Linked DNA regions of Caenorhabditis elegans. The main gene of each other region encodes a partner of the protein of the gene in region 3 in a complex. Each region holds a gene or a part of one and is shown on either strand. Other genes may lie near its edges. The genes, in order: czw-1, rod-1 and zwl-1.

Evidence for each region.
Region 1: zwl-1 (region 3) and czw-1 share a complex: the UniProt entries of both Caenorhabditis elegans proteins name them as parts of the RZZ complex.
Region 2: zwl-1 (region 3) and rod-1 share a complex: the UniProt entries of both Caenorhabditis elegans proteins name them as parts of the RZZ complex.

The regions. Positions count from the first base shown.
Region 1 is NC_003282.8:7,944,993-7,948,746, reverse strand, and holds the start of czw-1 (Centromere/kinetochore protein zw10 homolog), read left to right. Parts: upstream 1-2,154; 5' UTR 2,155-2,171; coding exon 2,172-2,465; intron 2,466-2,508; coding exon 2,509-3,065; intron 3,066-3,119; coding exon 3,120-3,662; intron 3,663-3,710; coding exon 3,711-3,754. Other genes in the region: mcm-3AP (PCI domain-containing protein), read right to left, coding at 10-70; F20D12.12 (uncharacterized protein), read right to left, coding at 793-836, 1,243-1,276. UniProt on the Caenorhabditis elegans protein: Essential component of the mitotic checkpoint, which prevents cells from prematurely exiting mitosis. Required for the assembly of the dynein-dynactin and mdf-1-mdf-2 complexes onto kinetochores.
Region 2 is NC_003282.8:7,476,389-7,480,142, reverse strand, and holds the start of rod-1 (Kinetochore-associated protein rod-1), read right to left. Parts: upstream 1,692-3,754; 5' UTR 1,691-1,691; coding exon 1,594-1,690; intron 1,539-1,593; coding exon 1,386-1,538; intron 1,339-1,385; coding exon 1,043-1,338; intron 986-1,042; coding exon 593-985; intron 550-592; coding exon 1-549. Other genes in the region: pycr-4 (Putative pyrroline-5-carboxylate reductase 4), read left to right, coding at 2,854-2,962, 3,021-3,274, 3,343-3,754. UniProt on the Caenorhabditis elegans protein: Essential component of the mitotic checkpoint, which prevents cells from prematurely exiting mitosis. Required for chromosome segregation, the assembly of the dynein-dynactin and mdf-1-mdf-2 complexes onto kinetochores and spindle pole separation.
Region 3 is NC_003279.8:2,400,354-2,404,107, reverse strand, and holds the start of zwl-1 (Protein zwilch homolog), read right to left. Parts: upstream 1,877-3,754; 5' UTR 1,874-1,876; coding exon 1,784-1,873; intron 1,093-1,783; coding exon 813-1,092; intron 764-812; coding exon 670-763; intron 1-669. Other genes in the region: dot-1.1 (Histone-lysine N-methyltransferase, H3 lysine-79 specific), read left to right, coding at 2,620-2,650, 2,700-2,898, 2,970-3,099, 3,340-3,492. UniProt on the Caenorhabditis elegans protein: Essential component of the mitotic checkpoint, which prevents cells from prematurely exiting mitosis. Required for chromosome segregation, the assembly of the dynein-dynactin and mdf-1-mdf-2 complexes onto kinetochores and spindle pole separation.

The DNA.
Region 1 (3,754 bases), on a different chromosome or scaffold from region 3:
AATATGTACCTGTTGGAGGTTTAACCGAGGTATTTGCTGATGAATTGAAGTTGAAGGGTGGCGGGTCCATCACCTGTAAAATTTTTATTTATGTCAGAAAAGATGCTTCTAAATAAAATGCGCATTTGAATAAATTTAAAAAATAACGTCTTCAGTGAAAAAACAAAAAACTTCGAATTTTCCTCCGGTAGCCTCCGTCTCTCAGTTTTGTGAGACCCGAAGAACTCGGGGGATGTCCAACTGGGGGGATTCCCAACTCGGGGGATTGGCCACGCCCACAGAACCGTGCCTTACAATACGCCCATTTCTGCAACCTCCGCACGGTTTTGAATGGTGATTTTCTTCATTGTTTTTTGGGGGAGAAAAATCAATTTCAACTCTAAAAAGTTCAATTTGAATTGTTTTTTTCGGTTTTTGAGTCGTTTTCGCGGAATAAAAGTAAAATATTTCAAAAAAATCGATTTTTCGCAGTGAAACAACAATTCACACGGAAAGGCGACGCGTAAAAATCGATTATTTGCAAGGAAAGAACAATTTACACGTGAGGAGACGAAGTGAAGAACGTAGAACGAGTTCTATTTAAAAAATTCGAATAAGATAACCTGAAAAATTGTGATGAAATGTTTTTCAGAGCCGAAGGAAATTGTTCAATGAAATTATTGTACAAATTGGTTTGCAAGCTATTCATTGAACATTAAGAGCGATATTTTATTGATCATGATAATTATTTACAGATAAGGATAATATTACATTTAATGAATTACATAATTTCAACAAAAAAACAATAATTTGTCATGAAAACGGAAGAATTTGGAGGATGAGCAGCTCGGGCGGATCTGAAAAATTTAAATTAGAACTTTCATAATGACATCGCTGATATATAAATGAAAAAAGATTTTATCTGGTCTATTATCAGATTCGCTTAGTTTTTAGAGGCTTTTGGCTTAAATGAATGCAATTACAAAATTCTACACAATTCAATTGAGAAGTCTACGGTTTGGAGTCTTAACGTTCACAGAGACGTACAATCGAAAAGAACTGATCGCCCGCCACTATACAGAAATTCCGACTTCAAAAGAGCAGTGACAGCAAATTATAGCTGTTTCAACGATTTCAATGCCTCTATAAGTCCATATATGTTCGATCCGAAGATATTTCATTAATTTTTTGTTAAACTATTTCAATTTTTGTTCTTAAATCAATTTTTTCCTACTTTCTACAATTTGAGAATATAATACTCACGTGGGTGGCCTGGAGAAGCACATCCCTGTTTCATCCGTGCAATTTCCCTCGATTCGACGAAGTCTAGAAATTAAAAAAATTGATAAAATATGAGAGGGAAAGAGATTAACAAAAGGAATACACGAATTAAGGAGGGCGAATTAACAAGTCACGGTTGAAAAATACTTTTTTTTGCGAAAATGGCTGAAAAAAACGAAGAAAAACAATTCAAATTGAACTTTTTAGAGTCGAAATTGATTTTTCTCCCCCAAAAAACAATGAAGAAAATCATCATTCAAAACCGTGCGGAGGTTGCAGAAATGGGCGTATTGTAAGGCACGGTTCTGTGGGCGTGGCCAATCCCCCGAGTTGGGAATCCCCCCAGTTGGACATCCCCCGAGTTCTTCGGGTCTCAGTTTTGTTCAGTCTCTCGTTGTCTGCATGTCCGAAGTACGCAAACACGGATGTACACCGTACATTGGCGCCAATAATCATAATTATGCGCGCGTGGAACGAAGTTTGATTTCGATTTCAAATCATTTTACAAACTTTTGTTTTTATCGTTCAAAGGATTTTAAAATCGATTTTCAACGCGTTGCAACGTAATAATTATACGTAATAAGATCTTATTCTTCATAGAAACGTTATTGTTTTTATTCACGCGGCGCTCTTTTTTCAAAAAGTAAGCAATCACGAATGCTGAATTCTCAATTAAACATTTTTTAAATTGACTCTTTCCCCAGTCACTTGCCTGCAACTCATCTCCCGTTATTAATTTTCATCTCTGTGAACGCGTGAGTAACATTTTTCTGCTAAAGTGAGCGCACCGGTGTCTCGTTGTCGTTTTTATGTTTTCTATTTGCGGGAAATTTAAATGCTCTTGTCTTCATGTATTTGTTAGTTAATAATTCCGTAGAACATTTTCTTTTTCAGGCTGTGAAACTTAAAAAATGGCGTCATCCGAGGGATCCTATAGAGATCTTGAGAAAAAACTGAAAAATGGACTTACTTCAATCTCGCAGGACATTGTGGACAAGTATGGAAACCTGAAAGTGTCACTCAATGTTAACGCGACAGCCAAGCTTATTTTCGACCGACTTGAGAACCTCGAGGATATAGCTGAAATGTCTACTCGAAATCTGTCTAACTTAATTGATCAGACAGCAAAGGACAGCCCCGAAATGCTCGCAGAGATTAAATCCCAAGCTCAAAGCTGCGAAAATCTGGTGGAATTCCTGCAATCGGTAATGGTTCGAAAATAAGCATATAAAACAATTGAGTTTTCAGATGAAAAATGTCGAAGAACAATTGATAATTATGCGGAGTAAAACAACGAATCGTGTAGAATGGGGAACTGCTATTCTTGCTTGTAAAGATTTTCTCAATGACACAAACATGCTGCTTGAAGGAATTGGACGAGACGGTTTCGACATGAGTGTTCCATTGAAGCATTTTGCCGCAGAATATTCGGTTTTAAGCTACAATTGTCGTTACCAATTGTCCGCTGACTACGAAAGAGCAATGAATGTTCCAAAACTGTCAAAACAGAAATGTGGAGATCGTACAAATGTTTCTTTCTCAGTATTCAATGTTGGAAGCGTGGAAGATCAGAAAATGCTGAACGAAACTCTAAGTGCTATGAATATGATTGGACAATTACCAGAACGACTGGACGCTTGGAAAATCGTTATCTTGAACGTGTTCTGTGAAGCGATTGTTGCTAGCCGCGATGGTGTTGACGTATATATTGTGGATAATCCAACACCTGATCAGACAAGATTCTTGATAAACCAAAAACCACGTGGCAAGAAGGACAAGACTATTGATGTCGCAAAAGTTCTCGAGTGAGCGAAAACCACTTTAAAATTCTGAAATTTAATTAAATATGGTTGTTTCAGGTCAATGGAAGTGTTTTTTACGAAGTTGCACTCCGTTCTTCATTCTCACGAACTGCTGGACGCGACTGGAAAGACTTTCACGTCGATGATCGGAAGCGTTATTGAGGAACAACTGATAACTATGATACTGAAAGATGTAATTGCGATTGCAGCACCCGTCACTGAAACTGCTGACGAAGATCAGGAGATGTTCATTAATTTGTTGCAAATTGGAGAGGTCTTTGTCGAAAGAATGAAGGAGCTCGGATTCTTTTCTCAGAAAGCAAAGTTGCTGTTCACTCTTGACACGGACACAATTTTTGTGACTCGTCGTTGCTTTGCGATCGTTTCAAAAGCGAATAAATTGATAAATGAAACGTATGACAAACTGGTTACAGTTGGAGTTGATGATTCAGCCATCAAGGATATTGATTTGCTTGCAAAGGCTCATACACATGCCGAACATTTTGCTAAAGAATATGGAAAAGATCTTGGACGTCTTTGGAGCCATAATGAAGATTCGCAGTTTCCATCATTCTTCGCTTTCCAGAAATGTACAGTCAGGTAATTTTTTAAAGTGTTTATTATTTTTTTCTAAAAAATAATTTTCAGTGAATCAACTATCAACTTTGTCAATCTTCTCCGTGATAACGTGA
Region 2 (3,754 bases), on a different chromosome or scaffold from region 3:
TTCTTCTGGACCAGCAATGATTCGATAAGTTCCCCACGTGTAGCAAAGTGCCTCAATCATTTTCAGAATATCCAGATCCGTTATTCTGCGCTTCTTTGCATGAGTCAAGTAGGTGCGGATACGATCACAGCGCCGACTCATTCCAACAAGAGTGAAGTATGTTTCAGCAACCATATTATGATCTTGAATTTGTCCCATCTTCGTCATCAGAGTCTCAAAAGATTCATCGCTTTCATCACAAGAGTCCATCAGATAATGTACGTGTCCTTTGTAAACCTTTTGTACATCCAGCATGAATGCCATGGCGAACTTCTCAGCTTCTTCAAATCTGTTATTCTTCAGAAGAGATTCGAAACGCATTTCAGGGCGAGACTGTGAGACTTGTCTGACAACAATTTGACTGCCGTCCTGTTCGTCTGCCAGAGAATTTTCCAATTCTTCAACGGCTATCAAGACACGATCACTTCCTCCATAAGCAAAAAGAGTTGTAGACGTGGATGAATCCAAAGCGAAACAATTGTCTTTATTCAATCGATCGTATATCATCATCTAAAAAGAAATTATTAAAATTTAACAAATACGATTCAAATACCTTTGTGCTATCTCCGTCACGTGGCAGAACCAAAATTGCGAACATCTTCGGAACTTCAACTTCATTCTTGTCAATGATCACAAAATCAAGAATTTTGTCGTCTGGAGACATCTTCATGTCAAATTCGTGGCAGAAGGATGATACCAATGAATCAAAGACATGAATCCATCCATCCGTGTCGAGGTGAAGAGAGAATCTACCTCCATCACGGACTTGCAAGAATTGTTTTTCCATGCCAATCACCTCAAACTCCGATTCGACGAGACCACACCAGTGAATCCCTCTTTGCTGATCAATTGAAGCGAACGTCTGAAGTGGCCCATTGGAGATCAGAGTAATGTCACCTGCGACCTTCGACATGTCAACAGACTTTGAAACCGTTTTTCCCATTGCCTGAAAAGAGAGTATTAAAATTAATTTGAAACTTTAAATGAATGTGATGAGCGTTACCTGGTGGAAAAATTCCTGAATCTGATCTCTGTGCCAATTTTCGAAACGGTTAGTCTCCTTAGATGCAGCCACGTCTCCTGGCAATGTGATAGTATGCCAATTATCAGATCGGCTCCCGAAAATCAATTGGCAAACACTGGAAGTAGTGTGACAGACAACGAAGTCAATTTCATGAGGAGCTGGCTCGTTCAAGTAAATTTCTTGTTTATCCAGCGAGAGAATTACAATACGACGATGTTCAATGACTCCAACAAAGAAGGAAGAACTTCCAAGGATTTCGAAATCAGTGATGGCTCCTGAAAATGTTGAGAAATCATTCCAGAGACTCTGAAATAGCTCATACCTCCAAGTCCGGTGTTGAACGAGTAGTCGCTTTTCTCGCCAAGACTGAAGACTGCCAGATCGGAGCACGACGCAAGAACAAGAAATCGCTCGTTACTTTTCGGTTTGAGCTTCCATGCCGGAGATTTCTTATCGATTGACATCTCATTTAACACTGAAACATACATTTAATTACATTAATCATAAAGATAATAGTTTTATTTTCTTACGGGGAAGGATTCGCCCAACGGTGCACACATCATAAAGGCCCACAGTCGACGTTTCCGCTTCCAAGTCCACAGCTTTTGCTTCGCCTAGGCGACCCATTCTGCAAATACGACATTATAATACACTGGTATCTCTAATTAAAAAATTTAACAGAAGAACGATTATAAAAATGAGTGAACAATTTCATTTCAAAAAATGTTTTTCGCCGCCGAAATAAGTGTCAGCAGGGCGCAATTTCCAAGTGTTAGAGTGAGAGAAACAAGACTTTTTTGAACCAAATAGTTGAATTTTGAAGCAAAAAACCAATAACTAAACACGAAAAGCGTTTCAAATCTCATACATTTCCTTACCTTTAACTGTGTTGAACAAAAATTAAATAATGAAAAACAATTAACACATTCAGTAAAAATTGATCGAAACGTGGAAATTACGTGTTCCTAACTATACAGCTTTTTTAAACGTAATTTTAGACCGGAAAACTTCTTTAAATTCAGAAATTTCACTATATTTATCAAAAATAAATAGTCTGAAACGATTTATTAGGATGAGGCGAGAAAATAACTGAAAATTAAAATGATATCCAAAAGAATTAAGATTCGTGTAAATATAGAGAAATTCGCGCCTAAAATTTGCGCGGGCAGGCGAAAAAAGACCGTAGTTTTTCGTCCCAAAACCCATCTCCAATATTCAGCATGCGCCTTTAATATGTCTACCGTATCTGCTCAGATGTTTCAAGTTTTTATCATAAATAAAATAATTTTACATTTTTTAAAGAAATTTTGAAGTGTTTATTTTCTGTGTTTCACCTGTTCCTACTGTTTTGTTCGTGGTTTGAACGTTTTGAATTATTTTCCAGAGCAGGATGACAAAACTGAACCGATGACAAATATATTTTATTATCTATACGGCCTCTGGAATGATGACAAAATAATCATCTAGGTGACTTTCTGTGCCTTTCACGGTTTTAAGATACAAATTTTTATAGAATACTAGTTTTTCATGTCAATTTCGGTACTAAAATGATCCCAGCATGTACCATAATATATCTTATTGTAACTTTTATATAAATGGAGACTTAGACGTCTAGACGTCTAACAAGAGACATAAAATAGAACCCAGTTATATGTTAAACGCACAGAGACGCAGTTGAGAAACAGAATCTCGTTAAGCGGGCAAACCTCTGCTCATGTCTTCTTCTTTTTTTTTTAATATGTTGCTTTTTGTTGTGTCAAAAACAATTATTATTGATTTCAGTCAAAACCATGACTATCGATACTGAATTGACAAACGGGTCCTCAGAGTCTGTGCCATTCGTGTTCATCGGAGGTGGAAATATGGCCGCTGCAATTATAAAAGGATGCCAGAATAAAGGTGAGTTAAAAAATTGTTCTCCTCGTTGATTTGAATTAAATTGTTTTCTAATTTTTAGGCTTTACACCGAAAAGCAATATTGTAATTGGCGTTCAAACGGAAAAATCGGCTGAGAAATGGAGGCAACTAGGATATAAAAACGTTTTCACAAACACACTGGAAATGCTGGAAAGATATTCGACGGCAATCTATGTGATTTGTGTGAAACCTCAAGTTTTCGAAGAAGTTGTGTCAAGCTGGCCTGTAAACTCAAGACCAGAATTTATTATTTCTGTAATGGCTGGAGTTCCATTAAAAGTTCTCAACGCGAAGGTGATTACTATAAGCAGTTATAAAATAATTTTAGAAATCATAATTTGCTGTACATAACATTTTTCCAGTTGCCATTCGTTTCGGGAAACACTACCATTGTTCGTTTGATGCCAAATGTAGCAAGTTCTATTGGAGCCGGCGCCTCGACGATGTGCTATGAAAAGAATGAAAAAATTATGAATCAAGATTCTCACATCGAATTGGCACGCGAGTTCGCCGAGTGTGTTGGAACTGTCGAACTTATCCCAGAAAGATGCTTTAACCCGGCAATGGCTATTGGAGGGAGTAGTCCTGCATGGACATTTATGTACATCGAATCACTGGCAGATGGAGCCGTCGCACAAGGGCTCGGACGAGCAGAGGCTAAAAGATTAGCTGCTCAAGCAGTACTCGGAGCAGCTCAAATGGTGCTCAATTCGAACTCTGGATTTGATATTGAAACTCAGCACTTTGGATCCCTCAAAGATATGGTTTGCTCCC
Region 3 (3,754 bases):
TATATATATGATTAAAAAATGCAAAAAAATTTTCTAGATTTTATATGATTTTTTTTTGAAAATTGCAAAAATCTCAGTTCGAATTTCCGCCAATTGGATTTGTTCGGTGGAGCGCACTTGCATTATTTTTATTAATTAACTTTATTTATTCTCGTTATTTGACCGATTTTCTTCATTTTCTATGTTTTTTCCTCGGAAAATGGAAGAAATGAACAAGACAAATGCAAAATGTTTGTTAAAAAGTAATTGAAAATGAGTAAAACTGTGAAATATACTAGTTTCAGGCTTGTCGTCGTCGGATCGCATATTTTCAGAGTTTTATGCATTTTCAGTTACTTTTTAATAAAAATTTTGCATTTTTCTTGTTTATTTCTTTCATTTTCCGAGGAACAAACATAGAAAATGAAGAAAATCGGTGAAATAACGAGAATAAATAAAATAAATAAATAAAAATAATGCAAGTGCGCTCCACCGAACGAATCCAATTGGCGGAAATTCAAAGCGGAATTAGGGGGAAAACTGAGATTTTTTCAATTTTCAAAAAATCATATAAAATCTAGAAAATTTTTTTGAATTTTTTTATCATGATATTCGGTCCTTGTGACCTCATAGGAATGTTTCAAAGCAATTTCTCCGCTGGCGCTACTCCAGAAAACATAAATTTATTACTATCTCTGAAGAGACACCCCGTCCGAGAGTGGAATTGGATTTGCATCAAAGAAGCTGGTTTCACACTCGTATCCAATGATTTCCACGTCGCCAACTGTAAAATCTGGGGGTTTTTCAGCATAAAAACAGCATTTTCAACCTACCCATTCCTTTTCTCAATTTTTCCAAAGTGAGAAATGACGTCATAAGTGGTCCACCTTCATTCACATTTTCTTTATCCTCAAAACTATCTTCCATTGGCTCAATTTTCTTTTTGAAAATCATCTTTTTCTCCGCTTTTCCTGCTCCTGATCCTGTTCCCTTGGATGGAAAATCAACGACAAGAACATCTTCAGAGCTCAGAGAAAGCTGGGAAACGCTCGAATGATTCATCACGAAGGGAATCGACGTGAGCGGGAGCACGCGGACACGGTACTTGTCGAGCTGAAAAATTTAGATTTTGAAATTTTAAAATTTGAGTTAAAGGGGGAGTAGAGTTTGTGGGTATTTTACTCAAATAGACTAAAACTGGACCAAAACCACCGAATTTCATAATGAGACTTCACAAAAAATTTCCAAAACTTTTTTATGGCGGGTTAATAAAATTTCGAAAAAATAAAGCCAAATTTTGCTAAAATCTGAAATTTCGCACACTTTTCTTTGTCACAACCGCTGAATTTTAATTTTTCTAAAGTTATCACCCTTTAATCCTTATTTTGGTAATTTATCTCGCGAAAATTCGTTGATTGAGACAACTTTTAAGCCGATAGGCTTAAAAGTTGAGTAGGCATCCAATTTTGATCATTTTTGGATGCCTATCGGCCTAAAAGTTTTCTCAATCAACGAATTTCCGCGACATAAATTACCAAAAGAAGAATTAAAGGGTGATAATTTCAGAAAAACTAAAATCAAGCGGCTGTGAGACAAAGAAAAGTATGCGAAATTTCGGATTTTAGCAAAATTTGGCTCTTTTTTCGAAATTTTGGCCCGCCATAAAAATGTTTTGGAAATTTTTTGTGAAGTCTCGTTATGAAATTCGGTGGTTTTGGACCAGTTTTAGTCTATTTAAGCAAAATACCCACAAACCCCACTCCCCCTTCAAACGAAGAATTCTAGAATTTTGGGGGAAAATTACCAGGAGAACCGGTGCCGGGGCGTCGTCCTCTTCGCCTTTTGCGGCCATTTTTTCATTATATTGCTTGAGCTGCTCGATGGTGAGTGGCATTTTCTGGGAAATGAAATTTTGAAAAAAAAAAGAAGAGAATTTTCTGAAAAAACGTGAAAAAAAACATTTTTTCACTGATTTTCTTCATTATTTGTGTATTTTCATCGGCAAAAAGAGAGAAAAATGCGAGATAAATGTGAATTTTTCATTGAAAAATCACTGAAAATGGGTAAAACTGTAATATTATGAGTTCCGACGACAACAAGCCGGAAATTAGCTATTTTCAGTGATTTTTTAATGAAAAATTCACATTTATCTTGCATTTTTCTCTCTTTTTGCGATGAAAATACACAAATAATGAAGAAAATCAGTGAAATAAGGAGAAAAATAAAATAAATTAATAACAATTTAATTTCCGGCTTGTTGTCGTCGGAACTCATAATTTTACAGTTTTATCCGTTTTTAGTGATTTTTTAATGAAAAATTTACATTTATCTTGCATTTTTCTCTTTTTTTCCGAATAAAAAAACCCAAAAAATTAAGAAAATCTGTGAAAAAATGAGAAAAATAAAGTAAATTGTTTTGTTTTCGCGCCACTTAAGTGCACTTCCTGTGCAAACACTTCCACGTACTTTTGCGTACTCTGCAAGCGCGCCCCACTGCACTCCTTATCGACCCACCAATTTTTCCAATAAAAAAGACTTTCTGATTGGATTTTTTCTCAATTTTTGTTTTAAAATCAAAGAAATTAATGAAAATTAATTAATAACACATTATAATTTTTAAAAAATCCATTTTTCAGCAGGATGTCGGAGGCAGACGCCGGCGCGAGGGATGGTGAGAAAATTAAGATAAAAAATTCAAAAAAATCAAAGAAAAATTGCAGAATCACCATCAAGGACAGCGGAAGAGCCGGCTGCTGCAATGAGAATCAAAGAAGAACGGAGAAGTTCTTCGGTAGACGTAGTCGACGTAGGAAACGGCGAATTATTAGTGCTTCACTCGATTTTTTATCAAGGAAAGACGCTTCGTCTGCCGGGTAATAGAGCTCACATGTATCCCGTTGTCTTTCAAATGATTAAAGGGTGAGAAAAAATCGATTTATAAATATATATATATATATATAATTAATTTCTGATCATTTTTCCATTTTCAGCGTGTGCTCCCTAGTTAAACAATTGGTGGTCGCTTTCCCGAAGGGCTGGGACCAAAATACTCCGTCAATTAGTGAAATTGCGGCTCTGACGAAGAGTTTTAATCGTGTCGCCAAGCCATTTGCTTCGAATGTGAGCTTTTTTGGCGTTTATAAAATCCAAAAAAGGCGGAAAAAATAACTTTTTTTTGGCGTTTAAAAATCCAAAAAAACCGGAAAAAATAGCTTTTTTTTGGCGTTTATAAAATCCAAAAAAGGCGGAAAAAATCGAATAAAAATGAAAAATTCGTGTTTTTTCTTCCTTTTCTTGGATTTTTTTAAACCAAAATCCGCAAAATTTGCAAAAATTAATTAATTAACTATTTAATTTCAGTGGAGCGGGTCGTACAACACAGATACGCTGAAAGAGTGGGGAGAGCCAAATTGCTCGGCAGAAGTGGCAAAAGCCATCACAACGTACGCCTACGAGTGTGCAGTTCCACGGCCAGCAGATCTCAATCAACATTACAAAAGTTTCACGTCCGAGGTGAGGCGTTTTCCTGGAAAATTCATATTTTATGGAAAAAAGCTGATAGTTTCGGGATTTTTATTCAAAAATCGGTTTTTCCTTAGAAATAAGCCTGAAAATTTATATTTTCTAAAAGCCAAATAATTTAGGCATTTTAACTTAAAAATTCATCAAAAATCCTATTTTTATCGAAAAAAAGTCAATAATTTCGCTAAAAATCGGCTTGAAAACGATTAGTTTCGGGATTATTACTCAAAAATCAGCCCGAAAATCCATATTT